Linked DNA regions of Danio rerio. The protein of the gene in region 1 interacts with the protein of each later gene in a pairwise test. Links are inferred from orthologs where the notes say so. Each region holds a gene or a part of one and is shown in the gene's direction. Other genes may lie near its edges. The genes, in order: cdc73, hsf2bp, tsga10, alas1 and tfcp2.

Region 1 (6,170 bases):
AAATACTTGTCGCAATCATAACTCTAAAATGCGAGATGATTATTTAAATGAAGTGCACGCTTTCAGTTTCATTTTCACTGCTAAGTGCTGTTCATACTTCGCGCGTGGCTCTCAAACAATCACTCTGTGCCACAAACTGTATATTATTTACAACTGTATTACCTGTTACGCACAGCATATGCAGGTTCTGTTTACTAAAGTAGAGGTATGCGCGTATATCATTAAGTAGGGTGCGCGTCCGCACAGTCAGCAGCTACGTCACGTGATTTCCCGGCCACGAAAACAGCATAATATGTAGACAAAAATGACAATTTTAGGTGAATTATACTTTATAAATACTGTTTTTGACTATTTTAACATCATTTAGAGGTGTCCATGTTCCTGAGCAATGTGCGCGAAACAATGAAAAGACTTTTGCAGCCTCCTTTGCTTCTCTCCTGAACTTGAAAATATGATTAACAAAATCGTAGAAATGCTGAATTAAGATTGTCTAGGAGTCTAATCGAGATCGAAAATTTTTTCGATTAATTGTGCAGCTCTAGATCACGCGTTTATCACTTATCATAACAAATCCTGTTTTGCCTTGTTTTGAGTACAATGTTAGTTTTTACTGTAAGTCAGCTCTCCAGTGTTTGTTTTTACTTTACAACATTTGTCTCAAATTTGATTCTTGGATGGCCGCAAGCCAGTGACTTTTTTGCTGTGAGGTGACAGCACTACCTACTTTCCAGATTGTCAATTCAAATTTAATTGAACCCTTTGTTTGTTTGCTTTATTGTTAAAAGCTATTTTTTTAAATTAAACGGTGTAAATTAATCCGATTTTGGCTAAATGTATATATCGTCACCCAACAATGCTTTGCTGAGACTTATGCAAATCAAGTCAAAGGCAGATTCTGCTTGACCAGTGTATTCAGCATTGAACTCCACTGAGTTATAAATGTGATTGTTTGTTTTTATTGCAATAAGTTATCATTTTAAATGTTAAACTGCATTAGTTAATACAAGTTGTCATAAAAAAATTGTGAAAAACTAGTACCGTTTTCTATTTATTTTGAAATATTAAGAAATAAATAAGGAAATTACCCATGGCAACTTTAATGTAACATAGCTTGGTATAAATACCTTCTGCCCATGGCTCTCAGTGATATTTGGTTTTTGGTCCTTCATATAAAAAAAGTTTGGGCACCCCCCTGCTCTAGAATTTCTGACTTTGATGGATGGAACCAAGGAACTGTTTTTTTTCACAACAGTGCAGAGGCACAACTACTAACTGTGTATTAGTACAGACTAATGAGATCCTGAGGTTTAAGGGCCAAATTATACTCGTCCATATTGTTCACTTTAAGGCCCAATCCCAATTCTATTTTTGTACCCCTACCCCTACTCCATCCCCATGGCCCTTACAACCAAGGCTTAAGAGGAAGGGCTTCAAAATTTACCCATAAGTATTGGGACAGCACTACACCACCTGCACACATCATCATATGTCCTCGCAATTTCTTGCTTCAATATGAGATCAGATGATTGCGACTGCCAGAGTGATTTCAGTTGTGTTATTTTTTTGGCATTGAAATTAATAAATTAATATGCTCAAAATTAGTAATTATAGGGTTTTCTCTTTAAGGGGGTCTTTCTAAACTTATCATCAGCAGAGATAAAAAGACCTGTAATGGGTGTGATAGACAAATGCGACATCCAAAAGTGTTGATGGTCCTCTTGGAATGTGATTGAGAAACACTCCAAAACTACTGGAGACTATTAAGCAGGTGTTGGAGGTGGTTGGAGCTAAACTCTTCAGAGCTGTGGCCCTCCAGGAGTTAAATAAAGATATTTATAAAATGTATAAATAAATATGCTCAAAATCAGTAATTATAGGTCTTTTTTTTTTTTAAGTTGACTGTCGTGCAATGGACAGTTTAAAGGGATAGTTCACTCAAATGAAAAATAACTCGCTGTTTTCACTATATCAAGTGGTTCCAAAAAGCAAAAACAAATACTATGGAAGTCAATGGTTTGTTACAGGTTATTGGAATTTTTCTAAACATCATCTTTTGTGTTTAACAAAAGAAAAAAACTCAAACAGGTTTGAAACAAGTTATGGGAGAACTATCTCTTTAAATCTGTTTAACCCTTAAAGACCTAGACGTATTTTGTGGGCACCTAATGGGCCTATATTATTATTATTTTTTAAAAGCAGTTTTATTGTTATTTTAGCAGTCAGCCTCAAGTGTTATATATTATTTTAAACAGGAGAACCTGAAGCTTCAATCTGTATCATTTAAAGGTTCAGTCTAAAACATTTTTTGGTCCAAAAACATATGAACAGACAGAAAATATTTTTTTTAAATAGTTTTTAAAAAAGTGGCATTTTCTAGTTATTACAAACAAAACCTCGTGAAGTTTTTTTTTTCTTTCTTTTAGAAATACACGCTATGATGTTTTATACTTCCAAAATAAATTTTGTCTACATCCACCTTTCCTTGAGCAAGTTATAGCAATTTATTTCAATGTTATTCTAAGGCTTTTTTCAGTGCATTTATTTACTGACAATGTATTTGCCCAAAAGTTCTGGAAATGAACTAAAAACAGAAAGATTGTTACAAAATAACAGAACACTGAAGCAAGTTTGACTTTTTTCAAATAATATATTTTCAGTTCCCATAAACAACACCACTTACAATGAACAAATAAAAAATAAGAAAACAAGAAATAATGCGTCAAAGTCCAAATAAACATGGTGCAAATCCTCAGTAAAATTTTTTTTATATAAATATTGACTATACTACACATAGTTACATAACTAAACTAGATTCAATATGGACCATCCTTAGGTTTTATGTGCCAGCATGAATATGGTGTTGACCCTGCTGTCTCTCAACTTTTGCGTTGCAGACAAACAGTCGCACTGCCATTTGCGTCCTTTGAAAACTGCAAGACCATCACTTCGTCTTTGCTGTGTCACTGTTTTGTCATGTTTTAGTGCTGTTGTGCATGCAAAAGTACTTAGTATGAGAATTATTTAATGCAAAACTTTTTTTTTTTTTTTTGCGATTATTTAGCCGTGCGTAAATGTACAGCCTATTTCTCATTCCGGGTTGTTCTAATAGCTGATTGCTGGTCCACAAAGCGAAACCTATGCTTATTGGTTGAGAGAGAGCGAGTTTGAACCAATCTGGGCATGGAGGAGGGACAATGTATCAATGCATCATGTCTGGTTTGTCCGAGCGTTCCTTTGTGAAATCAGAGGTGTCAAAATGTGATGACGTAACCACACTGATTTCGGAGCCTCCGAAGGTCCGTCAATGTAATGTTTTACAGCGATGGAAAGCTCTCTTCTTTATGCCAGTCTTTAAACTGTACTGATCGGATCAGCGGATTAAAAGTTATTAAACATTTAAGAACAGTACTTATTTTTAGCCACAGGCGGCTGTTTCAGTCTTTAAGGGTTAATGGTACATACGAGCACAGGCCACAATCAGTCAGTTTAAGACTGTTGTTGTTTGTACACAGGGATCGTGTTGTGGCGGTCTTCGTTCAGGGTCCTGCCTGGCAGTTCAAGGGCTGGCCGTGGCTACTGCCCGATGGATCCCCAGTGGACATATTTGCCAAAAGTGAGTTTGGTCTGAACATTACACAACAAAGATTATACAGAGGATATAGTGAGCTTCATGCCATGTTTATGCGTTTTTAGTTCGAGCCTTTCACCTGAAGTACGATGAGGCACGGATGGACCCAAACGTGCAGAAGTGGGACGTGACTGTGCTGGAGCTGAGCCACCACAAACGACACTTGGACCGGCCCGTCTTCCTGCGCTTCTGGGAAACACTTGACAGGTCAGGATGAAATGTGAAATGTTTTTTTGTTATGAAATTTTAGCGCTTCCATAACAATAAACAAATTTTTGTGTATTTTTCTGGCTGCCAACAGATATCTCAATGTAATGATATCTTACAAATCATTAATACTAATAAATGATTTTTTCGTAGATGATAGATATCACACGCACACACACACCCATTCTTAGAAAAGGAATGGCATTCATTTCAAATAAAAGCAGATGCACTCCACCTGTTATGTCTCTTTGGAAAATGTGGTTTGTCAAGCTGCAGTGATTTAGTAGTTGTGAAATGTGAAAGAATGTAGCTGACCTGTTTCATCATGGTCACACTGTTTTAATGTACAATTCTCACTAATAACAAGCCATTACCTATGAATTTGACCTCAAATTTCTAATTGGCTGCTTGTTAATAGTTAGGGAGTAGTTGGGTTTAGGTATTTCGTAGGATTAGGGATGTTGAACTATATTAGGGGTGTCATTCTGTGTAATCTAGAATAATCTTAAGGCACAGTCCTATTTGCATTTAATGCAACAGTCAACAAAACAGCACAATTTGGATCGAATCCTTAAAGGGCAGTTGCAAAGAGTTAAAAAAAAATGTTTGGGTATTCTGAAACTTCATGTACACACTGGGATATCAGAGGCTTTTTTTTGTTATTTGTTTTTTTTTACATTTTGTAAAAAGGAGCTAAATAATAGGTCCCCTTTTATTATAGGCAGGCATGTAATAAGCTACTAGTTATAATGAGAATTACTCCCTCTACTAAATGGTTTCCTTAATTATTAAAGGGCCATTTTCACAGAGCCAAAACAAACACACAGGCGCAGGGGAGAAAGATAGTGACCGCATTTACATGGACATCAGTAATTGAATTATTTGCTAAATTATTAATTTGTGGACCATAACTGCAGTTTGGCATGTTCACTTTCATTCAGGAACAAATCATGCATGCCCCATGACAAACGCGATATTGCATGCAAAGAAACTGCTGGAAGAGTGTAGTTTTAATGGAATGTTTGATACCGCATGTTGTATGAGAGAAAAAAAAACTCATTTCTCGGTAACTTAGATGCACTCGGTAGGTAGCATCAGAAAGCTTATTGTGTAGTGTATTTTGTCACAATTTTCAGCAAAAATTCTACACAACGGTAATAGTTTGATTAAGGTGTTTACATGATTACACTCGGGAGTGCATACTTCATCTATAATATGTAGTGAAAATAATGTGTTGTAAACTTAATAACTAAATGGTAATTTTTTAAATACTGTAAGAGTACTGTAGACTAACTAACTTTGCCTCTATATAAACAAACAGTAAAAAAAAGAACACTGATCATACACTTACCAAATCTGTAGAGACAGGATAATCAACACGAAGATGAGTGGCAACTCTGGATTTCACCATTTTCAGATACGAAAAGCTCTTGGGTAAAAATGTTTCTTACAAACATATTTCCGTCGCATGCATTGTAATCCACACGTGAGTCCAGCTGCGCTTTCATGAGGGGAAATGAAAACAAAACCTTTGTTGCAGCACATTTATAAACGCAACACTGACGACTGTTTTTCCACTTGTGACGTCTCTCTGCCATCTGAACACTGTAACAAGTAAAAACATGTATTCATGACAGTCTTCGAAACTATCATGCATTTTAGGGAAGTTGCACCTCATACACCGTAGAGCACGCCAATTGGTTTGAATCAAGTCTTTCTCATGAATGAATGCTGCACACTCGACCGCGTCATGTTGTACTGGCCAGAACAGATAGCCATTCTACATGCTGGAATACATGCAAGGATCTAATCGCTGTGCCGTAGCTTCAAAAATTTGTTTCAAACTGGAAAAACAAATTTACTCAAAATAACACAAAAACAACAAATTTTTACTTTTTTTTTTTTTTAAATATGTGTGTCCTAATAGTGTTTTTATTAGCATGGGACACACATATGATTGTTAACATATCAAATAATGTGTTTTGGTGTTTGGCCGGCCTTTAACAAAGAACACTGATCACACACTTGCCAAACTTGTAGAGACAAGGACAATCACAAACACAAACCGGAGCCGCGTCTTTTTTTTTTTTTTTTTAAAGGAGACGAGAGACAAATGCGGATTTCACCATTTTCCTGATTCGAAAAGCTCTTGCGTGTTAGCAGACCACTGTAATTCACACATGTGGGTCCAGACGAGAACTGTACTCTCATCGTTAGGGTTGTGTACCGAAACCCGATGCCATCAAGGCACTTGTACCTTTGTAACCGGTATGTACCGAACCCAATATGCATATGAATTTTGGTGCCTAATTTCGGTGCCACTGGTGCTGTAACA
Region 2 (6,170 bases), on another chromosome or scaffold:
GAAAGCAAGGAGGAGCAGAGTGTTTTAGGGTCCTAGAATGGCATGGTGGTAGTCCAATCTGATGTCTTTGACTTCTTCTCCTCCTCTTCCACCACCACTGTGGTGTCGTTGACTTCTTCTTCGTTCTCCTCCCCCAACACCACTTGGGTGTCCTTGACCTCTTCTTCTACTTCTCTTCCTCCTCTCCTTCTTCTCTTCTACCGCAACCACTCTGGTGTTTTTGACCTCTTCTTCTACTTCCCTTCCTACTCTTCCTCTTCTTCTTTTTCTTCCTCCTCGTCTTCTTCTTCTCCTGTTCCACCTCCACTGGTGTCTTTGGCTGTTTCTCAATACAAGTACCCAAAGTTCGGACTTGCGTCCTTAAAAGTTCAGACTTGGAAAAGCGAAGTACAGAGGACGCGAAGACCCATGCTGGGTACTTCTTCAAATGGAACAGCAGTGTACTTTATAACATCACTTACCTCTCCATGGATTCATCGGTTTCACTGTGCATTAAAAATAAAATGATTCCATTAATATTATAAATGTAGATTTTTGATTTAAGAAAATGTAAACATAAATCACTGTAAATGTGAATTTAATTTTCTAAAGATAGCACAAGACGTGCTATATTTAGAAATACACTGCAGATTTGAGTTTAAAGCAACTATATTCTCGCCTGAAAAACTCTTAAAACTTAAATTTGTAACACAACAAACGAGCATTTTAAAACTGTGCGGGTTTTCTCCCCACCATTAGCATTTGCTGGTTACGCTGCAATGCATTCAGGGACACCTGTGCTTTGTAAGTTCCCACAAGTCACCTCTCGAAGCATCCTTGGAAAAAGGGGCAGAGCTAGCACACATCCGGGATTTTTATCTGTACTTGGCAAAATGTCAACTTTAAACTGGAATAGTACTTCGGTGACGTTTGATGACATTTCACGAGGACACAAGGTCGCAAGTACAGACAAGAATGCATATTGAGATACAGCCGATGATCTCTTTTTCTTCTTCTACTCCTCCTCTTCCACCACCACTCTGACCTTTTCTTCTTCTCTTCTTCCTCTACCACCACCACTCTGGTGCTTTTGACCTCTTCTTCTTCTTCCTCCTCTTTTCTTTCTCCTTTTCCACCACCACTCTGGGGTCCTTGCCCTCTTCGCTTTCCTTCTCTCCTTCTGCTCTTCTGCCACCACTCTGGTGTCTTTGACTTCTTATTTTTCGTCTTCTCTTTTCTCCCTCGTCCTCCTCTTCTTCTTCTCTTTAGCCACCACTGGTGTCTTTTATCTCTTCTTCTCTTACTTCTCCTTTTCCAGCACCACTCTGATGTCCTTGATCTCCTCTTCTTCGTCTTTTCCCCCCTCTCCTTCGTTTTCTTCTTCCTCTTCTTTTTCTTCTTCCTTCTCCTTTTCTCCTCTTGTGCCACCACTCTAATGTCTTTGACTTCTTCTTTGTCCTCCTCCTTCATCACCACTTATGTTTCCTTTACCTCTTCTTCTTCTTCCCTCCTCCTCTCCTTCTTATTCTCTTTTTCCTCAACCACTCTGGTGTCTTTTACCTCTTTTTCTTATTCCTCTTTTTTTTCTCCTATTCCACCACTCGGGTGTCTCTGACCTCTTCTTCTCTTCTTCCTCTTCTGCCATCACTTTGGTGTTTTTGACCTCTTCTTCTTCCTCCTCCTCATTTTCTTCTCTTTCTCATTTCCACTACCACTCTGGTGTCCTTGACCTCTTCTCTTCCTTCTCCTCCACCACCACTCTGGCATCCTTGACCTTTTTTTGTTCTTGTTCTTTTTCCTCTCTCTTCTCCTCTTTCTCCACCTCTCTGGTGTCTTTGACCTCTTCTACTTTTTTTCCTTCTTCTTCTTTGTGTGCTAACTAAGCTCAATCTGATACATTTGTGTGTAGTTTTGCAGTAACAGTTCACAAAATACAGCTTGTGTCAAAGAAGTTTTTTCAAAAAGGGCATTATGGTTTTGAAATTTTGGTTTAAAAAGTATTCAAAAAATTTTGTACTTAGGTATTGCAAGTAGTTTATTTAAAAATCTACACGTGCCCCAAATTGTACAAAGAGATTATGCGTGGGATTACGTGTACGCAGTGTTTCATACATCTGATTTTTTTACTGCGTACACACAGTGACAGCTTTTTACGTATGCAATGTTTTAGTATGAATTCAACGCAAGTCTTCGTACATGAGGCCCCTGGTCCTCTCTCGTCTTCCACTGCTGTCTCTCCTCCTTTTAAATATTTGTTTGTGTGTGTGTGTGTGTATGTACTTACTTTGTACACTTATTTTGATATGTCTGAGAAAATTAATATAAGCACCTCAGCTCGCAAAATGTAGTTGGTGTATTTTTCATGTAAAAATTTTCAAAATGTTCAGCTTTATATGTTACAATTTAATATTAAATAAATCACATAATCAGTAGCTCAAAGTCGCTGATTAGGAAAGAGGACAAAAATATGTTTTATCCCTTGATCTAGCATTGTCTGGTAAGATAGAACACAGTTTCGGGTTTGATGTTGTGGCTACAGTAGTCTATGATGCTCTCTAGCCTCTTGAGATAAAACGAAATGTGTTTTCTTCCTCTCACAGACCCTGATCCAGAAGTGTGCCTGCAGTCATTGAGGCTCCTTCAGTCTTTAATACTGGAAAGAGAAATCATGCCTGGCATGGCTACTGACTTTCGACGCTCTTTCCCCCTCAGTCGTATCAACCATCTAGTTTCAAGCTGCCATCCCACTCTCAAACAAACAGCCCAGGAGACACTGGAAGATCTGGTTAGTTTTACAAACTCCCAAACTACATTCACAGAGAAGGAGCAGTGTTTGGATTAAAAAGGGCAGTCTAGGTTTAATTTAGACTCTATGGGTCTAGATTAGATTACTTGTCCATGCCATGACAGTTGCCCATGTTCCTGGTGTAATCAACCAAAGAAACCTAATAAGGGATTTTCAACAAAACTGAAGCAATTTTAAGCTTCTTTTGTTGACAAATAACCAGTTTTCAATCTACTTATATTGTATAAAGTCTTTTCCATGTTGGTACATTATCTTTCAGGTTATACACAAAAAGTTTTTTTTTTCTTTAATCTGATAATCAGATAAGTTCATCTGTACATCTTAAAAAACTTTACTTTAAATTGCATAATACTGTTGTGTATATAATATTGGTGAAATTAGGTAATTCTTTCGAAATAAAGCTAAGGTCATAAAACATTTTATGAGACATGAACATAGGGTCTTTGATAGAGAAGACAAAAAATTATACCATTGATTTTTGATAAGATACTTTTTTACTATGGTGAAAGTAGGTATCTCTAGTCCCCTTGTCAGTACAGATTTTATCACTACAAATAGAGGCTATATTTGTAAAAATGTTCATACTTGCGCAAAAATGAATAAATAATTAAAACAACCAAACTACTGCTAATCAAAGAGCCCTTATTGTGCATTATAAATGGTCGTATTTTGGTTTTGGGGGTTTCCAACAACATGCTGATATGCATACAATGCCAAAAAACACTTTTATTTTTACAAAATATTCATTTTTGTTTACCTAATTAACCCAAAGACTTCCATATGATTTATTTTGCAATTCATTTTTTCTCAACTCCTTTGCATGACACTAATCTGTGGTGATTGTTCTGATGATCCAGTTGGTTCAGTGCAAGGAGAAATTCATTAAATCAATGCAGTAAACACCAGCATACACTGTAAAAAATTCTTATCTACTATTTACTTAAAAATCATGTAGTTTTCAAGACTTGATTTTTTTCAGCAAAACCTACTTGAATAAATCAGGTGAAAATTTGTTAATTTTTTTGAGTGATAGATGATGATTTTAATATTATTAGTCAAAAGTTCTTTTCTAATTTAAGCTAATCAACCACAATTTACTCATATTTATTCATCAAAATTACTCAATCATAAAATGAAAAATATATAATTTATATTGAAATACATACACATTGCATTTTTTTGGTTGCATTGACAACAAAACGGTTTGTTATGTTAAACAAATCTATTAAGAATTTACTGAAGTTTTAAGTTCTGAAAAAAGTGATTTATCCACACTGTTAGCCCTTACCAGGCTTTTATACAGTATAATACTGGCAACTCTGTTGCCAGCTACTCACTGTAATGGTTTGGTTACAGTGAGTAACAGGCACCAGTGTTGACAGTGAATTAATGTAATTAAACCATAACAGTGACTAACTGGCAACACTGTAACTTACTAATTACTGTAACTTAACCATTAGAGTGAGTAGCTGGCAACAGTGCTTTCAGTTACTGTAATAGAGCAGTAGCAGCAACTAACTGGAAACTGCTTACAGTTACTTACTGTACTATAGTGTTACAACTCACAGCATCATACTGCATACACATTAATGGTATGTCATTTAGAGTTATTGTAGTGTTACTATAAATCAGTATTCTGAAGTGGTATTAAATTAGAAAGCATATAAATTCTTCAGACACATGTATTTTATTGTTTTGACAGCAAACACACCTGATCAAACTAATTGAGGCTTATTAGAAGTCTACAGGTAATGTTGAAGCAGAGTGAGAACTAAACTCTGCTGGCTGCAGCCCTCCAGGAACGGAGTTTGACAACATTTAAGCAACTGCCTACATTTATCACATATCTAATAAAAAAAAACAATATAAATTAATTAATTAACAAACTCCATCCAAAGCAAAAAAATGTAAAATTGTTCAGCACTAATCCTCATGTTATTCCAAACCTGTAGTAATAATAAAAAAATAAACAAATAACCTGATTTATCAATTTATTACTTGACTTCTGATATACAAGGCTACAATAATATAAGGTTAAAGACAAAGTTTTTTTAAGTTTCAAATAATTGTAAAAAAATTTGCATATCAAAATTATACACACACATACTTTAAAATAATTATAAAAACAAAACTCAAATAAATTCGGCAACACAGAGAGTCTAAAGTATCCAATCTTATTATTATTTACTTAAAGAGCCCCTATTATACATGAATTAGGGTAATATTTTGGTTGTAAGGGTCTCTAACAACAGTTTAATATGCATGCAAGGTCAAAAAACGCTTGCATGGTCTTATAATCTGCATTTATTTTTAGCTAATTATCCCAGCGACTCCCATTTGAATCGTTCAGTGATTCATTTGTTCCCAAACCCCTCCTTAGCACGAAGCTTATCTGCATTGATTGGCCTGATGACAGCCTACTGCGATTGGTTAACACTGACAACCTTCAGCACGAGACAGAGTGAAATGTCCAGCAGCTAATCAACAATATAGAAGTAGTCAGAGTGCAAACACGCTTTATAGTGTAAGGCGTGAATTTTGGCTGCCAGTGGGTGAATGTAAATACAGACGATGGACTTGAAAATACAGACGAGTAACTATTTTATTGAGCAAAAACTCTAAGAACTGGCGAGGAGATCAACACACACACACACACACACACACACACACACACACACACACACACACACACACACACACACACACACACACATTACCTTCCTCCACAGAGGACACAACACCAAAACATTCAAAAACAGAGAATGCACTTTCGGGTTGGGGCGGTGTGATCGCCGTTCGCCTAGAGCACCAGTTCAGCTTGCTGGGTGCAATTTAGACAACTCACCTCGAACCTGAGTTGAACTATTTTGAAACTTCACCGTTGCATGTGTGTAGGAACAGCTGATGATCCGTAAACAAAGCAGCATGCGTCGCGTTTTCAATTTTAATCACATATACTTACACTTGTGATATGGAGGAAGAAACTGATTCATGATTCACTGATCCATGTTCTGACATAGTCCCGTCCATCAGTTCTCTTTTCTGGTCCTTCCTTTAACAAACGGCCGATGAAGTCTTTGTTGTAAGCATGTAGTTTCCAGAAGCATTGCACTAGGCTGGGCTATATTGCTGAGATATTTTTTGCTAAAATAAACCTCAATCACTGACTCTTCAAAGTTTCATCTTTGGGTAGAGACTGTCAATAATATCCATCTGCACAGCATGACTTTATTCGACTGGTGTCTGTGTGTGTGTATGGCTTTTTTTTTGTGTTAGTGGACGGGGCTGCAAGTTTCAAATCTCCCGGGTTTGCCCGCGCAACTACTTGTGTTTCGTAGCTGCGCCATCGCAAAAAACCTAATGAATCGTTATCAAGACGACTCAT
Region 3 (6,170 bases), on another chromosome or scaffold:
ACCATCATCACGATAAATTTAACAAACAACAAATGACATTAACATCATACTGAACATTTTTCAGCAGCACATTGGCTCAGTGGTTAACACTGACGCCTCAAAGCAAGAAGGTTGCTGGTTCGAGTCCCGGCTGGGCCAGTGGGCATATCTGTGTGGAGTTTGCATGTTCTTCCCGTGTTTACATGGGTTTCCTCTGGCTGCTCTGGTTTCCCCCTAAATCCAAAGACATGCGCTAGGTGAATTAAAGAAGTTAAATTGGCCGTAGTGCATATGTGTAAATGCGAGAATGTATGGGTGTTTCCCAGTACTGGGTTACAGCTGGAAGGGCATACACTGTGTAAAACACATGCTGGATAAGTTGGCGGTTCATTCCCATTTGGTAACCCTTGATCAATGAAGGAAGTGAGTAATAACAGTGTGACGTCATGTCTGCAGAGCTTTAAGAGACACCATATCAGGCAAAGAAAGAGAGCTGGATGTCTTGAAAAGGAAGTTGTCAGACTCTGAGAAAGAGATGGACACGCTGATGAAAGTCAAAGATGAAGCGTCACAAGAAAACGGTCAGCTGAGAGACGATCTTGACAGAGCACATCAGGAAAATCAGGTGCTCTACACCAAACAATTGTACGCAACGGCATTCTATTAAATAAGATACCAAGACCTGAAGTTTACTTTCATTTCAGACTCTAAAGTTCAAGCTGGATGAAGCGAATCTGGAAATAGAGGACTTGCAGAAAAAAGTACAAGATCACATCGCAGACATCTCACGTACTGAAGATCTGCTGTCTGCCAAGGTGATGAGTCTCTTAAAGGAACAGATCACCCAAAAATGTCAATTTATGGGTAATAAAAAATCATGGTAATAAAAAAAAATTCTATAAAAGACAATAGTTACAGGTTTCCAACATTTTTCAAAATATTTTCTCTTGTGTTCTAAAGAAAAAAAAACTTTGTGAAGTGCTTTAAATTGTGCATTTGTTACTCAACGTTTGACATAATCTCAACTAAAAGATGAAAAAGGGGCGGGACATAGAGTAGCTCCTCCTGTTTAAAAACAAGACAGCCAATGGTGTTTCAATTTATCACAGCCCTATCAGTGAGAGTGGTTGAGATCAAACACATCAAATGAAAAGCAAAGTGACTTGAAGGGGCGGAGCATGTCAGATACTAGAAAGCATTTGATTGGTCAAGATTTGATGAAAAATTCAAGTATGAGATGATGTCAAATACATTGTTGAACCATTAAGGCGGAAGTGACAAACTGCAAGCTTTGGATGTTTAGGTCTTCTAAACACGAAGTTTGTCACTGTTTTGGAGCCCACTAACTAATAGATATCCATAAATCTAACAGACTGTCGCTAACATCTAAAAAAAACTTTGTTTTAATTTCATGGGACTTTTAAATTGGTTTGGAACAAGGATAAAATTTGGGAAAAAATGTTTGTTATCATGATCAAAATAGCAATCTTGTTTGCTGTCCTCCAGGAGCGTGAGTGTAGAGAACTGCAAGAGTCTCGAAGGAAAGAGTCTATTCTGGTGGAAAGCTGGGAGGACCAGGCCAGACGCGCTGAAACCACAGTCATCGAACTCCGTCTTGAGCTTCACAATGCTAATTCGGAGATACTTCGACTCAAAGAAAGAGCAGACAGTCTGGAGAACAGACTCCAACAGGTCAGCTGGTTAAAGTGATGTCGCTGGTTTGAGTCCTCTCTGAGCCATTTCTGTGCGGAGTTTGCATGTTCTCCTCATGTTCACGTGGGTTTCCTCCAGGTGCCCCGGTTTCCCCCTCAGTCCAAAGACATGCGATGTAGGTGAACAGAAGAAACTAAATTGGCCGTAGTGTATGAGTGTGTGTAAATGAGTGAGTGTGTATGGGTGTTTCCCAGTTCTGGAAGGGCATCTGCTGCATAAAACATATGCTGGATCAGTTGGTGGTTCATTCCGCTGTGGTGACTCCTGAAATAGAGACTAAAGCTGAAGAAAACCAATGAATGATAAATGCTTTAGGCCAAACAATCACAATAAGGCTAAAGTCTGTCAAGCACAACCCATGTTGCCAGCGCTCCTCAGTCTAGTGCTGTTAAGTTAAGACAGTCTGTCATTAAGTGTGTTTTGTCGATGTTTGTCCAGGCACTGAGTGCGGAGAGAAGCTGCACTAGTCAGCTGTCTCAGTTAAACCGAAAGATGATTCACATGGAGGAGGATCTGTGTCAGGCGCGGGCTGAGCACACGCAGGCACAGGCCGACCTGGAAAAAACACGAGAGCTCTGTGTCAAACTGGATGCCAGCAAAGACGCTGTGAGTGTTCAGGCGGGATTAAATGAGTCTGCCAGGAAAATGCTCTTTTTTAATATTACCTGCTTGTCAATTCAACAACTGCAACACGAGCAGAACTGGAAAACACATTATTCACTTTCAACACATCCACTGCTATTAGACTTTAGCTGAGTGCTATATATATTTAATAAGACCTTGCTTTTACCTACAATTTAAAATTTTCCCTTTAGATATGATGGCCCGTGTGATGGCCAACATTCTAATTCATGCTAGAAACATGCTATCAACATGCAAATTCTCAGTAACAACAAGCTGATTTCTATGAACAATCTCCTTGCATATTAGAACATGCTAGCCACTTGCAAATTATTGCTAGCAACATCATAATTCATGTTAAACATGCTAACTACATGTTAATGTGTTATAAAACATGCTAGAAACATGTCAATTCTCAGTAACAGCAGGCTGATTTATATTGCCAATATTGTAACACACTAAAGCATTCTAAGAACATGCTAATTCTTGTTAGCAACATCCTAATTAATGTTAAAACATGCTAATTCATGTTAGAAATTATGTTAAAAACATGCCATGCAGCATGCAAATTATCAGTAACAGCAAGCTCATTTCTATCAACAATGTTCTTGCATATTAGAACACGCTAGCAACTTGCAAATTAATGGTATCAACATGCTAATTCATGTTAAAACTTGCTAACTACATGTTAATTTGTTATAAAACATAACCTAATTCATGTTAAAAACTTGTTTAATGACATTCTAATTTGTTATAAAACATGCTAGAAACATGCTATCAATATGTCAATTCTCTGTAACAGCAAGCTGATTCATATTGCCAATATTGTAACACACTAGAGCATTCTAACAACATGCTAATTCTTGTAGCAAAGTCCTAATTAATGTTAAAAGGATGCCAATTCATGTCATAAAACATGTTAGGAACATGCTAGCAAGATGCAAATTCTCAGTAACAGCAAGCTGATTCCTATGAACAATGTTCTTACATACTAGAACATGCTAGCAACTTTCAAATGATTGCTAGCAACATCCTAATTAATGGTTAAAACATGCTTACTACGAGTTAATTCATTCTAGAAACATGTTAATTAATTAAAATTAAAATGCTAATTCAAGCAGTGTTGTCAAACCAACACCAAAGTTTGACAACAAACATTTTACAAACCTAATTTAAAGTTTATTGTCTTAAAGATTTTTCATACACTAAACTGAAATGCAAACATTTCCTCACTTTTGTGAATGTGCTTGTGCAGGTGCAGCGTGAGCTGGAATCCTGCTGCTCTGAGATCGAGCTGTTACAGAAGCAGCTGACCAGTGAACGTCTGTCTGTACAGACTCTGGAGAGCCTGCTGGTGTCCACAAGAGAAAAAGAGCTACAGAGGCAACTCACCTCTCAGGAAAGACAGACTGAAATAGAAATCCTTAAGGACAAACTTAGCATGGCTGACAGTAAAGCGTGAGTTTAGTACACACACTTATGCTTTTTCCCTTGTTTTATTTCATCCTTTCAACTACTGTTTTTTTAACGTCTTTAGGAATTCTCAGAGCAGAGAAATGGCTCAGCTGAAGACACGATCATGCCAGCTGGAGGCAGATCTGGAGATGACCAAGAGACATCTGTCTACTGAACGCTTCGAAAGGTGAGACACATAAAGAGATAAAGTTTGTGTGAAATCAAAATGTACGATGTATTACTTTGCTAGATCACATTATTATTCTTTAGGTGAATAATTAATCCGCACAAGTTAATCGACTGGAAAAAAAGATAGTTTTGTCGTGGAAAAAAGTGAAGAGCAGAGGGGGTGTTATCGCTGCCGAAAGTGGAGAGGGTTGAAGAGCCGCGAAAGACAGTGAAGAGCGGGTGCCTGTGAGGAGGGGGATCGGTAAAATGAGGTGCCGGATCCGGATCCGGCTTGCTCCGGCACAAATTAAGCTCTGCTCACAATACTTTTTTAAAACTAATGCCTAAGTGCCACGTCATGCATTTTTAGAAGCAAAGACGTGTCCGGTGTGAATGAGCCTCTACTGATTGTCCTTACTACAGGAGAATGATGCGTACAAAGAAAGCCCCGCCCACCCTTTCCAATCCGCTTGTTAAGTGTGACGTCATGCGAAGCGGCTTCCTGGTCCAAGCGCAGTATTCAACTGAATAGGGAGACTCATGAAATGGTAATAATAAACGTTTACAAAACGATTAAATACTTTCGTAAATCACGATCGCAGTATATATGTCCATGCCTAATATCCGATGGCCAGAAAGTGGTTAATTTTTTTAGAAATTGTTAAATTTTTGGTATTTGTTATGCAGCAAGCCCAGAGATTGTTGTGTACACTGTGACTTTATATAAAATCAACTTTAATGTGTGATAGGAAAAAAACGTGATCATAAACGAATGATTTCTCCACTCAAATGAATGGCGGCTTGGACCCGGAAACAATATTACATACGTCACAAACATGTCACCACTTAACAAGTGGATATTTGCTGCATCCGAAACTGCATACTTCCATACTATATAGTACGCTAAAATCAGTATGCGAGCCAAGTACACAGCAAAATATGGGGACCCAAAACAACTCTATGGGTGTTAATTTCAACACTTTGAAAGTGTCTCATGGGGTCCACTCAAAACAAAGTTAAATCAACACTTTCAAAAGGGTTGGCACATTGACACCGAAGTAAGGGTTAATTTTAACTCTGGGCAGAGTTAAAAAATGTAACTATATTTAACACCGCCTGGTGTAATATATTGTTATTTTATTCAACTCTCTTGAGTGTAAATATGGTAAAAAGGTCAAATAGACTGTAAATTACAAAATAAAAAAACATTTTATTTGAAAACATTCACCACTTCAACAATTCATTCAGTTTTTAAAATGCAACAATGTCAAATATACTTTAAATGTTTTATTAGTACAGACAGTATCAACAAAATATGTATGACCAGTGCTCAAAAAGGCTGTTTCAGTCCTTTGGTCCAAACTTGATGTGTTATCAGAGCAATTTGAAAGTTCAATATATCGTCACTCATAGTTTACTTCTGAACTCATAGTTTTCTTCTGAAATTACATTTTAAACAACTTGGCTTGTAAATCTTTCACTTCTGGTGTTTCCTTGGTCCTCCATATTAAACACAGCAGTTTAAATGAAGGTATAAATGCTGTAAACTTGTGTAAAAACAAACTGGAGCTATGAAATTTCATCAAGCATGTCCTGTGAATGAAGTGCTTCCCAGCCACAGGATGACCTTTTTATCCATGACGATGTAGCAGCTGCTGATCGCTCGTCTGGTGGTTCCTGATGCACGGATATAGGGTGATGCTCATCTAAGAACTCTTCAAGACTCCAGCATGACTAAGAAAAATGTTTGAAAACAAATTGCAATCAAATTCTATGATATATTTAAAAGAACATTTAAAGTAAATAAAACATTCAAGAAATCTAAACTCACCTTTTGAAAATCTTCATGATGATCCACAACTTGACTCTCCCAGCTGGTTGAGGTGACAGGATATGGAAAAGTAGAAAAAACACATACATCACTGTTGGATCTCCAAAAACAATTAGGTTAACCACTATGACTAGAACTGGAAAAACAGGCAGCTGTCTGTCCAGAATCCTGAATTTAACACAACACTTGGAGCAAAATTTAGAGGAGCTTAAAATCTTTTATATAATTTAGTGATGCTGACTTCCCCAAAATATTGGCCACAGTGTAAAAAATATTCATAAACTTCATAAACAACAGTTTTCTGTAAGCGTGTGCGTGCGTGCGTGCGTGTGTGTGCGTGCGTGTTTCTTTACCAGATTCAACTTGTTAGGCCCTTTCAGGTCCAGTATTGAGGCCACCTTTA
Region 4 (6,739 bases), on another chromosome or scaffold:
ATCACACTAATTGAGTTTATTAGGCTCGTTTAATACCTACAGAGAGCAGGGCAGGAACTAAACTGTGCTGGGCTGAGGCCCTCCAGGAACTGAGTTGACACCCCTGAACTACATGAAGATATTAAGCATGAGCCGTTTACTCTGCTAACATTATTACTATCTGCTCATAACCCTCATGAAAAACACTGCAGGCATTTATAGTAGGTATACTGTAGTAAAGACATTTAATTGATCTGTTGTGGTGATTCTACAGTTGCTATGGTAACACAACAACTATGATAATGTAAACAAATGAGCCAGTACTGTAGCTTTCTACAACTATAGGGTATATTATACTGCACTACACCACAGTTGACTGTAGTAAACACTAAAGTACACTACAGTATTTATTATCACTCTAGTAAACACTATGCTGGAGCATTGATTAACAAAGAGACACTACAATATAATACACTTTACTATCGTGTGGTTTGAAAACACTACAGTATTTAATAGACTTTAGAGCAGTGGTGCTCAAACTTTTTTCACCAAATACCACCTCAGAAAACAATAGTCTCTCCAGGTACCACCATGATGACCAGTATAGAAATAAAGCAGTGTAGTAGGCCAAATCAAGCAGCTCCAGCACTGCACAGTTCAAAAACGAGACAGAGTCATATTCATGTTAATACAATTTTTAATAAATTATGACATATACGTTGCATGTACATGTGACATATTTGTAAAACTTTTGAAAATCTAAATATTAACTTGTATGTAGACAGGGGAACCGGTTTTTCTCAGAGGATCTCAAGCTGACAATATTATATGTTATATATATAATATATAATGTATATTCCATACAAAATATGAAGCTGATCGGTCAGTTCTTGTTACGTGACTCGCGGTGCGGCATTCTGAAAAGATGTTTTAACTGGGCACACCTGGAATACGAAAGTGCATCATGCTGCTTGCGTCTTCATTATAAATAACAAACTTGCATGTAGAAATGACACGATATGTGAACATTATCGTACACATCAAATGATTAAAATAGGATTCAATTTTCCATTCATTACTCAGTGATTCCTCCACGTACCACTAGATATAAGCCCCTGTACCAGTAGTGTACATGTACCACAGTTTGAGAACCACTGCTTTAGACAATACACTGTAGGTAAAAAATAAATAATAATAATTGTTATTATTACTGCTACTACTGCTAATAAATGAACTATTACCATAGTGGTTTTTGCATTACAACTCATTTCTAAAATGTTGTTTACATCTGCAAATAAGTCAAAATGTGCAAACATCTGAACAATGAAGGAAGTCAAAAATTCCTGTTTGATTATTTTACAGCTGATTTTCCATATGTCTCTTTTGCATCACTCTTTATAATTTAGAAAATACTGCAAAGAGATGGAAAATTTGCAAATAAACCAACAAAAAATATTTATTAAAACATTTATTGTGGAACAGAACTATAATATAGCTTTTAATCAGGCAAATAATGTCTATGGCTCAGTGCAAAATGTGTATAATTATATATGTGTAATGAGCATATAGTGTATAACTTGTGCAATAATAGTTTATTATGGTTTTATTTACAGACACAAATTCAAAACAAAAACTTAAAAGTGAATTTCATGTGCCTCAGTTTTATCTCACTTTTAAACATATTATAACTATTAAACCTGCTTATATATTTACATATTTTACATATTTATAACTTATAAAAAATCTCTAAATCAACAAAGTGCATGTAAGAGAAGTGTGTTCATCTAGTTTATAGCTTCATTTATAATGGGACAGAGTAGTTCACCAACTGAAAACGAACATTTCCTCAATAGTTCTTCGCTGTTTCTTTATTAGTGGCTGTAAACTTTAATGATTTCTTTCTTCTGTTGAACACAAATATAATAATGCTGGAAAAGCTGACTCCAATAGAACAGACATATCTTCCAGCATTCTTCAGAATATCTTCCTTTGTGTTGAACAGAAGACATAAACAGGTTTGATGAGGTGGAGGATGAGAAAATGATGGTGGGATTTACATTTGTGTGTGAACTGACCCTGAAAACTTTAAGGAAACAGTCCTGTTGTTTTTACTCTGAGTTATGTCTGGGCTATTCCTGTAGCAGGGCGCGTCTATACACTTCCTTTGACTTTCTGGTGTAGTTTCCTCATATTAATGACATAAACAAACACGAGGACACATGTATCATACTGATCACAACACACGTGTTGATCAATCTGGGAATTATCCGCCTCGTGTGCTCAGGGTTTGAGGCGGTGCAGTCTAGAAGGGATACAGCTGCGGTTACTCATACTTTTTATGACCCACCCTGTACAACAATAATTCATATTTTACATTACTGTGAGGGCTGGGGTAGGTGTAGAAGTTTGTAAATACAATTAATGGGTCATTTAATAAACAATACGAACTCAGTATACTACTGTTTACGTGAGGGTTGGGTTAGGCGTTAATAAAATACTATTTAATGGGTAGTTTAAAAAACAATATGATTCGTCTCGGTGTAATTACTGTTTTTACATTAATGTGAGGGTTAAGGTAGACGTTTATAAAATACAATTCTCGTTAACTTCATTTCTCGCCGCAGCTGTATCTCTTCTAGCAACAACCGGTGTCGCCATAGTTTGCGCGGAAGGAGAGGCGTGTCCTCGCGGCTGCTGACGTAAAGATCGCGAGATCTGCGGCCGCTGGTGCGATATAATCCCGGAGCGCCGCTCGCCCTCTCGTTCGTCCTCAGTGCAGGATAACGACGCACATCGCTCATTACGGCTGAGAAAACAGGCCAGAGACGGCATAACACTAACAACCGACCACCGGACAGCGATACCAACAGAACACACCCGCGATCTCGGAGGAAACTGAGGTGAGGCGCGTTCATTAGAGGTCGCGGCGCGTTTAATCATGCGGCTTTCTAACTGTTGACCTCTGAAGACTCCACAGATTAACTGTACATCTGCATTTATTTATGTTTTATATCTTATTAAAGGTAGAGAGAGTTCAGTAGAGGATACGATGGTCGTTTTTAATGTACATTTAGCAAATTTAGCTAAAACGCCTCAGGTTCCTGTCAGGTTTGCTAACGTTACGTCACGTGACGCAGAAATCATAACTCTTAACATTAGCCGGTAGGTTAAATTACTGTACTGTACTGTACTATATTGATTTGTAATGTAGCAGAGTAGTGAACTGTTAGTGTAACGTGAGGTTTAGTTTCCGTGTGTAAGTCAGCTGTTTCCCGGCAGGTGAGCTGACAGTATCGGTGAGTCACTGTCGGCGCTGTTCTCTGACTTCATCAGGAATTAATGAGGTCAAGTTGGTTTTATTTTCACACATTGGGTCATTTAATGCTCTCTATATTGTTTACCACTCTATTTTGAATATCGAGTCTGAAAGAGCATTTAAATATGAATTCTAAAACAACATTAGCACTGTTTAATTGACCGTGAATAATGCTGGAATGCACTTTGATGGTCATTGACTGCTGATATGATTCCCCTATTTAGAATTTGATAATACTTTTCTGAAATGAGATTGTGAAGGAGAAAGTCTGAATGTGCGAATATAAAAACAGTTTCTGCTGTTTTAACTCGTATGAGTATGGGATTGAGGGAAAGTTGGTTTTAAATTCACACATTTGGACATTCTCTTTAATAATTTAATATCAGAAAAGTGTTCTTTGCTCATTCTAAATGGTGAAATCATATAATCAGCCAATGGCTATCAGAGTACAGCATTGTTTACAGTCTGATCCTTACATCCAATTTTGACCTAACATTCAAAGTACCATGGTAAACAATATAGGGAGGGAACCACTGAATACATGTGAGAATATAAAACCAACTTGACCTCAATGAGTATCGATGATGATGATGATGATGATGATGAGGGCTGAGCTGAGAGCAGCTGTAAATCTGTGTGGAATGGGCTTACTGTGATTTGAGTTTGAGTGCTCACACACAGCTTTAAGGAGTATTAGTGTACTGTGTGTGTGTGTGTGTGTGTGTCTAATGTTGAGGCGGTAAAGTATGTTTTATATTCGCACATTAGTTTAACGTGTTGTTTATTACACTGCTTTACATATTTACATATTGGGTGTGAAATGGCATGTAAATATGACTTCATAACAACATTAGACGTGTTGGTTAATCTGCATTCATACAGCGTCTTCAAGAAGTCCCAGTGTCTGCAGGAGCCTACTGGAGGTCTGCAATCTGGAAGTTCTATCACAAGTCTGATTTGAGATAAAGCTGTTTTGTCTATAATGTGTTCTTAGGATGAGGGGAGATGGCTAAACCGAGCATGCAAATGAAGTGTTGTTGTCGGCAGGGTAAACTGCCTTTTCAGGTCTGATCTCATCATGTTCTGGAGACAGAAACCGCCTGACCAGTTGACCGAAAAGAGAAAACAAGTGACACAGCCGTGCTGTGAGACTGACACTTTGCATTACTATGGAATATAAATTTATATTCCCTCAATGGTAATGTGATTTACTGCTGTATAATCATTTATTTTTATTTTGTCTTAGTCAAAAACAACAACTTTTTTCCCCAATTAACACAATATATTACATTTTAGGAAACATTTATATTATTTTGGAACCGTAAACATGTCAGGCTACATAATTAAAATAAACCATTGACTTCTACAATCTTTTTTATCTTCAAAAATCTTCAAAACAGATTTCCTTACAACACATAAAAAAACTCTACATATACCTTAGAAACGGTATAAAAAACATTTGTGCGGTTTTAATACCGAGACTTTTCCAGACCGCAGTAAACCTTGTAACCGGTTATCATCTCATGCCTAGAATGCACACAGACTCTGAGGGAATTGTCACCGTAGGGCCCCAAATTAAGTAAATATGCTCATAAATCAGACAGAATGAAGTGTTTAGAGATGTAGAAGTGCAGAGTGTGTGCTGTGAGCGTTGAGTTTAGAGGGAGACGAGAGAATACACACACACTGTACAGAACAAACATCACTACAGCTGTACCGAGATATACGAACGTGTGTGTGTGTGTGTGTTTGTTTGTGTGTGTTTGTTTGTTTGTGTGTGTTTGTTTGTTTGTGTGTGTTTGTGTGTGTTTGTTTGTTTGTTTGTTTGTTTGTGTGTGTGTGTGTGTGTGTGTGTGTGTGTGTGTGTGTGTGTGTGTGTGTGTGTGTGTGTGTGTGTGTGTGTGTGTGTGTGTGTGTGTGTGTGTGTGTGTGTGTGTGTGTGTGTGTGTTTTTGAACTCTCAGTACTGAGGTTGTGGCTCAGTTCCAGTCATGTGAAAGTGACAGTAACCCTTCACACCGGCCGGCTGTTAATCACCATGACAGTGCACTGTGTAATCAGTCAGTTGTAATTAACCTGCTCTCTGTTCTGTGTTTTCCAGACCTCACTGAACCGTCAGCTATGGACGCCATCATTCGCTGCCCATTCCTGTCCCGCGTCCCGCAGACGTTCCTCCAGCAAGCCAGGAAGTCTCTGGTGGCGTATGCGGTGAAGTGTCCTGTGATGATGGATCTGGCCTCCAGACCCCTGCTGCGCCCGCTCTGCTCCTCTAGCGCCAGCTTCCAGAAGGTGGAAGACTCCTCTGCGGCCGGACATGGTCAGTCACGTGCTGTTATAAGGGAAAAATTGTAGAAACGTCATTATTTAAATATAAAACTGCATGATAAGGCTGCGCAATATATGGTTTCAGCATCGATATCGTGATGTACGAGTCTGCAATAGCCACGTCACAGAATCTCCAATGTTGGGATTATAATTATTCAGAAAGCACCGTTCAGAGCATGTGATTTGGGGAGTTTAACAGTGAAAGAGTTTTATTTGGATGTGTTTTAAAGACCTGTGACTGTGTCATACATGCGTTCACCCCTCACAAATCTCGCATTTAAACTGATCTTGTCTACAGAATGCTTTACAGTAAAATATTTATGCAGATACATTGAATTAGTCTGTGCTGAAGCCAAATCTGGAGCCAAAAAAACAGCCTAAAAATTAGTATCCCAAATTGATATGTTCTTTTTTTGGCTAAATTTTACATGAAATCCAACCTGAAGTTTCACACAGAATTTTAAGACATTTTAAGAATCGATTTGATCAAGTAGTTTTTACCAGATGTCGTATTGGGCATACGAGAATAACACATGGTTTTTTGCTCCAAGGTGAAAACCCTACTCAGTGTTTGTATTGCAAAACTCATCTTACTGTAAAGCATATTTTACTGGACTGTCCTGCTTTTACTGATTCCAGAAGGACTTTTTATGAAATTAACTCTTTTAAGGACATTTTTGACAAAGTAACACCCGAAAAGATTTTAGAATTTTTATCATGTATTAACACAAAAAATCTTATTTAATTTATGTTTTATTTTGTTTGTTGATTTTTAAATTGTATATTTATTGTTGAAAGATTCCTGCCATGAAGATAGCCTTGGTTGCTGACATGGCACTAAATAAAAAATACATTACATTACATTTTGGCTAAATTTAGCGCACATTTAAATGCATTATCTTGATATTTTTAAAGATGTTCAATGACTAAAATATGACTTTAATCAATATGTTAAGTTTTGTTCAAATCTATGAATATATATTGTCGATATTCTTTAAGAGATGTATAAAATATTCCATTTCAAAATAGGGTAAACTCATTTATGCTGATGAATCTCCTCTTTTTTTTTTTTATTTATTTATTTTTTATTCAGAAGCCAGTGATGCTCCTGCAGTGCCCG
Region 5 (6,170 bases), on another chromosome or scaffold:
TGGTTTAGGATTTGCAACCATTGTCAAGGTCTGACAGTTCCCCATATATCTCTAGTTTTTAGTACTGATACTGATTCCTCCTTTATTGATAATGGCCATTGGCCAGCAAATCCTGCATTGTAGGGTAGGTTGCTGTAGCAGTCATCAGTAAAATGGCAGGGAATACAGCACAGTTTTACAGTCTTAAAGGGGACGTTTAGCCAGAAATCAAATTTATTTTAAATAATCAAAACTCAAAAGAGTAATAGTTTACTAATTTTTCCAAACACGTAGGGCACTATTTGTTACTTCCAACAATAAAAGAAAATATCAGGGTCCTCAAGGGTCAGAATTTCTTGAATGTGATCGAATTAAAAAAAGTCTATTTCAAACATTGAAAGTCAGGGAAATGTTATATATTTTTGTCCAAGACATTTAATTTAATATCAGAGATTTTTGTTTGTCACTTTAAATTTTTGTTTCAGTGTTCGAAATATAAACTTTTCTTTACCATGTTTTATCACAAAAGTGGTTATGGTTAGACTGCATTTCAGTTTCCCTTTGGGATGAATGAAGTATCTATTTGCTTCAAAGACTTTGTGTTAAAAAGTAGACAGACTTAACTTAAATATGGGAGAGGTAGGGAGCACTTCGAAACCATGTAAACAGTAAGTACCTTAGATTTAGTTTAACTCTGTTTTTATTGAAAGATATAAGTCAGAGAGCCACAGCATCAAATACATAGAATAATTAGACATCAACTACTCCAATGTAGCAGCAGAACACAATTTGCTCGCATTTTCTTTCTCTCTGAATAAAGTAATACAATTAAATATTCATGCTTTAAGGAAAATAATTTAAAAAACACGCAAAACAAATAACAAATATATATATACTGTATATATAATCGTAATTAGAAAGAAAAAATAACATTATAGATAAAAGTAACACCTATTAGGCCACACAAGAATACAGAAAATATATAAATACAAATATGCAAAGGGTACAGCAGTGGCAAATAAATAAATAAAACACATTCTCCATTTATATCCAGACCAGGAGCAGGGAAAATAGGTCAGTTACAGTATATACATGCATACATACACACACACACATACATACATATTTATTTATTTGTTTTTTTTTATTTTTTAGGTGTAAGAGGAAAGGTTGCCAAACAGTGTCAAATTTGTTTCTGTAATACAGCAAACTGTATATTTAATATTTTTTTATTTGCATAGTCTGCATCAGGTCATGCATCCAATGTACATACCTGGGTGGGGAAGGATTTTTCCAGTTCAGTGTTATAAGCCTTTTAGCAATTATTAAACAGAAGGCGAGTGCATTTGATTGTGTAGATGACAAGGAAACATTTGTAGGGTTAAGTCCAAATAATGCTACTATGGGGCAAGGCTTAATATCTAAAATAAAGCATTCAGAAATTGATTAAAAATTGATGCCCACAAAGTCCTTAATGCTGGACAAGTACCTTGGATTTGATTCATTTTTATCCATTGTTTGTGAAGTGACATTCAAGCTAAAATCATTTTTAAAAAAATAGAAAGCACAACAGAGGCCTGTTTTTTCCATTCATAACCAAAAAAACATTATGTTTGGCTTAGTGTGTGAATTCTGAAATATTTTGAGTAACATTTACTTTCATTTTGTGAACAACTTTTCAGTTGTCATTCATTGTAATTCATTATTTTGACATTTGATGTAGGTCCATTGTATAAGCACAGAGTTCACCATGCGTAAACATGGAGGAGAGAAGGGAGTGCCATTCCGTATTCAAATCGACACTTTCAAGGAGAACGAGGCCGGGGAGTACACCGAACATCTGCACTCCGCCAGCTGCCAAATCAAAGTCTTTAAGGTGGGTTGAGGCCTGTGCTGCTGATAAACATTTACAATGTGATATCTGTGCTCTGTTTCAATGCACGTCTTGTTTCGCCAGTGCAGCGCCATTTGTATGTACTTCTTAGAAAGCGAGATGTTTGTTTTGTATGTAGCCTAAAGGTGCAGACAGAAAGCAGAAAACAGACCGCGAAAAAATGGAGAAACGAGCACCACAGGAAAAGGAGAAATACCAGCCTTCATATGAAACCACCATTCTCACTGAGGTTGGAACTAATTTGTTATGATCATTTTAGATTTATTTAGTAAATATATAAAAATAAATATTATTACAATATTTAATGCAGTTATTTTTAGTAATACATCATATTATTATTATTAATGTATCTCCTCCATTGGAATAATATTATTTAAAAATATAAATTAAGTCAATTACAGTTTGAATGAAATAAATTGTGGTATTTTTTTTAATACCTGATGATATAAAGTGTGTTGTTTTTATCCAGTGCTCTCCATGGCCCGAGGCTACATATGTAAACAACTCGCCATCTCCTGGATTTAACAGTACCCACAACAGCTTTCCTGTTACCGAAGGGTAGGAAACAATGATCATCATCATCTAAATATTACTTAATGCCTGAATATTTCTTTTGTTAATAAATCTTTTTACTTCATTGCTACAATAGTAAGCAAAGCAACATATTGAATAAGAAAAAAAGAGTAGTTCTAGATAGGGCTGTGCAATGTATCCTTTCAGCATCGATACAGTGCATCTGGAAAGTGTTCATAGTGCTTCACTTTTTCCACATTTTTTTATGTTACAGGCTTACAACCTTATTTTAAAATGGATTAAATTAATTTATTTCCTCAATTCTACACACAATAGCCCATAATGAAAATGTGAAATAAAGATTTTTTGAAATTATTGCAAATTTATAAAAAAATAAAAAAAACCTGAAAAATCACATATACATCAGTATTCACGGCCTTTGCTGTGAAGTTCTAAATTGAGCTCAGGTACATTCTGTTTCCACTGACCATTCTTAAGATGTTTCAGCAGCTTAATTGGAGTTCACCTGTGGTAAATTCAGTTGATTGGACATGATTTGAAAAGGCATACACCTGTCTCTATAAGGTCCCAGGGTTGACAGTGCATGTCAAAGCACAAACCAAGCATGAAGACAAAGGAATTGTCTGTAGACCTCCGAGACAGGATTGTCTCAAGGCACAAGGCTAAGAGAGGTTACAGAAAAACCTTACAGAAGGACAACCATCTGTGCAGCAATCCACCAATCAGGCCTGTATGGTAGAGTGGTCAGACGGAAGCCACTCCACGCCTGGAATTTGCCAAAAGGCATCTGAAGGACTCTCAGACCATAAGAAAGAAAATTCTCTGGTCTGATGAGACAAAAATGAACTCTTTGGAGTGAATGCCAGGGGTTATGTTGGAGAAAACCAGACACCGCTCATCACCAGGCTAATACCATCCCTACAGTGAAGCATGGTGGTGGCAGCATCATGCAGTGGGGATGTTTTTTAGCAGCAGGAACTGGAAGACTAATCAGGATGGTAGGAAAGATGAATGCAGCAATGTACAGAGACATCCTGAATTGAAACCTGCTTCAGAGTGCTTTGGACATCAAACCGGGGTGACGGTTCATCTTCTGGCAGGACAATGAACCAACGCACACTGCTAAAATATCTATGGAGTGGCTTTACAACAACTCTGTGAATGTCCTTGAGTGGCCCAGCCAGAGTCCAGACCTAAATCCATTTAAAGATCTCTGGAGAGATCTGAAAATGGCTGTACACCATCACTTTCTATTTAACCTGATAGAGCTTGAGAGGTACTGCAAAGAAGAATGGACAAAAATTCCCAAAGACAGTGTGCCAAGCTTGTGGCAGCATATTCAAAAAGACTTGAGGCTGTAATTGCTGCCAAATGTGCATCAACAAAGTATTGAGCAAAGGCTGAAAATACTTATGTACATGTGATTTTCCAGGTCTTTTTATTTTTAATAAGTTTGCAACACTTTCACATTGTCATTATGGGGTATTGTGTGTAGAATGAATGTTCCTAAAAACCCTAAACTACTCCTTAATACAACTGGTTTGTAAATAGTGCGATACTTAATTTAGTAATAAAAACAAATCATTAACTAAGTATGAAATTGCACATTTTAAATGTTTGTAAGTCAAGAATAGAGCATTTGTAGCTGCAGTTATAAACCGCTTACTAACGTCCATTAATGTGGAGTTAAAGGCTGATTTATACATCTGCGTCAAACGTCGGCGTATGCTACGGCGCTGATGCATAGCCCTTCACCGTGGCCATCGCCGTCACTGACGTGCACCTCTCAAAAAATTTAACTACACGTCGCAACGACGCGTAGCGTAAGCTCTGTGATTGGTCGGCTTGGTAGCGCTGACGAGTCTGGGCGGGACCGAGAGCCGCGCGAATTGCGCGAGCGATTGCTTACAAGTGTGGAGTCCCGTGAAGGAGCTCCGGATGGAAAGTTTTGTTTTGTGTTTACCTCATAGTTAAAGTTGTTGCACGTCCGCCGGTTCCTGCCTCAAAATGAGCGAGTTTGAGCCACTTGTACATCCCGGAAGTGTTCAGGAAAAGCAAAAAAGCAGAGAAGAAACTCGACACAGAGGAACATTTACACCTCACTGCCAACTAGCGTTTCGGAAGTGTTAATGCAGACCGACAGAGACAGCGCGCAGAAGTATAAATGCACAGCCACGCGCGTTGCCTGCGCCGTGGGTTACGCCGGTCACCTGACGCAGAAGTATAAATCAGGCTTAATGCTTAACAAATAATGAATTCACTAGATGCTAATGCTTAGTATATGATTCATAGTGTGCAGTTATTATAAAGTGTTACCCAATATTTCACTTGGTCCAAGATTTTTTTTTATATTTGAACTAGAAACTAGACAAAACAAAGTAAGAAAAGCAATTTTTGCTTCGTGGTTATTCGATTTCTGTAACCGAAAACTCTTAGACTCCCTAGAAAACCATCAGATAGAGCTATTGTGTGAAGCTGCATTAATAACGTATTTATCGCAGAAAAATAAAATACCGTAATATCCGATCTTTCCAGTATCATGCAGCCCTGGTTATAGATCGTTTTATAGACTATGAAAACATTTATCTTTTTTGGAGCAACATGCAATAATTAAATGTTTATGTATGGCCATAATGACTCATAGTTTTGTCTTGCAGAAATGGTTCACCCAGTCACCAGCCAGAGCCTGTCGCACAGTTAGCGGATGTGAGTGTATGTGTATTTTTTTTCTTCCTCTCTCATATCTGATATCCACTGCTCACAGTGGCATAAAATAACAATCATTTAACAAATGTATGTACATTGAGAAATGAAAGGCAAACTGCCTAGGACTTTAACCAAAATATAGATGCATCCCAGTGTTCCCTTATGTTTCTTTTCCTACATTTCTGCATTCTACATGCTATCCTTTAATTTAAATATTATGTTTGTGCTTCTTATCTGTGTTCCATTTGCATTTGTGTTTGATTTAGTTCATATTTAATAATACTGGCTTCACTCGTTAAGTAGTTGAGCTGTTTTGGGAATGAAATGGTAATTAGGTGTAGTGCTGTGTGTGTATTTGTGTATAAGGTATGCTCCATGCTTCCATCTACATTAATAATATCAGGACAACTACAGTAGTTCATCAAAAACCCTTTGTTCCATTCATAATATGGCAGCTGCTATGATTAATTCTGTAGAATGCTTTTTTGGTTGCTTTGCATGCTCATTAGCACATTTCAAAGCATGTAGTGCCCTTTGTAGCTTTTGTTAGAACTAATAGTATATAATACATAGGGCAAAATGGGTGGTATGTTAAGTATTAGGACATATATTAATTTTGTTATATTTTTCTTTCTTTTTTGTTTTGTTATCTGCATGCCACAGATATACCATGGCATTGCATTTTCTATCGTTACACAGTGTGTATGTATATATATATATATATATATATATATATATATATGTATATGTAAATATATATATATATATATATATATATATATATATATATGTATATGTAAATATATATATATATATATATATATATATATCACACTACACTGCCCAAGTCCTTAAATATTTAGTTAAATATTATTCTACTGTTTCAAAGGTTTGGGTTTTCATGTGTTTTTAAAAGAATAATAATTATATTTATTCAGAAACGATGTATCAATGGAATTAAATGCGACCAATAACGTTATAAAAGATTTCTATTTGAAATAAATGCTGTTCTTTTCAACTTTTTGGCAAAACAACACATCACAGTTTACGCTAAGCT

The links.
Region 2: the proteins of cdc73 (region 1) and hsf2bp interact in binary tests that used the Homo sapiens proteins (3 or more experiments, as listed by UniProt). The link is inferred for Danio rerio from reciprocal best matches to the Homo sapiens genes CDC73 and HSF2BP.
Region 3: the proteins of cdc73 (region 1) and tsga10 interact in binary tests that used the Homo sapiens proteins (3 or more experiments, as listed by UniProt). The two-hybrid records come from large-scale screens. The link is inferred for Danio rerio from reciprocal best matches to the Homo sapiens genes CDC73 and TSGA10.
Region 4: the proteins of cdc73 (region 1) and alas1 interact in a two-hybrid assay, tested with the Homo sapiens proteins (3 studies listed by BioGRID and IntAct). The two-hybrid records come from large-scale screens. The link is inferred for Danio rerio from reciprocal best matches to the Homo sapiens genes CDC73 and ALAS1.
Region 5: the proteins of cdc73 (region 1) and tfcp2 interact in binary tests that used the Homo sapiens proteins (3 or more experiments, as listed by UniProt). The two-hybrid records come from large-scale screens. The link is inferred for Danio rerio from reciprocal best matches to the Homo sapiens genes CDC73 and TFCP2.

Annotation. Positions count from the first base shown.
Region 1 is NC_133177.1:12,423,159-12,429,328, forward strand, and holds part of cdc73 (parafibromin), read left to right. Parts: intron 1-3,512; coding exon 3,513-3,613; intron 3,614-3,693; coding exon 3,694-3,835; coding exon of another isoform or gene 3,836-3,845; exon of another isoform or gene 3,846-4,069; intron 4,070-6,170.
Region 2 is NC_133176.1:32,687,961-32,694,130, reverse strand, and holds part of hsf2bp (heat shock factor 2-binding protein), read left to right. Parts: intron 1-2,579; coding exon 2,580-2,764; coding exon of another isoform or gene 2,765-2,821; exon of another isoform or gene 2,822-3,224; intron 3,225-6,170. UniProt on the Homo sapiens protein: Meiotic recombination factor component of recombination bridges involved in meiotic double-strand break repair.
Region 3 is NC_133176.1:52,978,182-52,984,351, forward strand, and holds part of tsga10 (testis-specific gene 10 protein), read left to right. Parts: intron 1-435; coding exon 436-604; intron 605-683; coding exon 684-794; intron 795-1,485; coding exon 1,486-1,671; intron 1,672-2,130; coding exon 2,131-2,298; intron 2,299-3,568; coding exon 3,569-3,771; intron 3,772-3,850; coding exon 3,851-3,955; intron 3,956-5,126; exon of another isoform or gene 5,127-5,670; intron 5,671-5,767; exon of another isoform or gene 5,768-5,810; intron 5,811-6,120; exon of another isoform or gene 6,121-6,170. UniProt on the Homo sapiens protein: Plays a role in spermatogenesis. When overexpressed, prevents nuclear localization of HIF1A.
Region 4 is NC_133186.1:319,049-325,787, reverse strand, and holds the start of alas1 (5-aminolevulinate synthase, non-specific, mitochondrial), read left to right. Parts: upstream 1-2,741; 5' UTR 2,742-2,879; intron 2,880-5,395; 5' UTR 5,396-5,415; coding exon of another isoform or gene 5,416-5,611; intron 5,612-6,712; coding exon of another isoform or gene 6,713-6,739.
Region 5 is NC_133198.1:36,627,518-36,633,687, reverse strand, and holds part of tfcp2 (alpha-globin transcription factor CP2), read left to right. Parts: intron 1-1,702; coding exon 1,703-1,855; intron 1,856-1,991; coding exon 1,992-2,102; intron 2,103-2,342; coding exon 2,343-2,431; intron 2,432-5,064; coding exon 5,065-5,119; intron 5,120-6,170.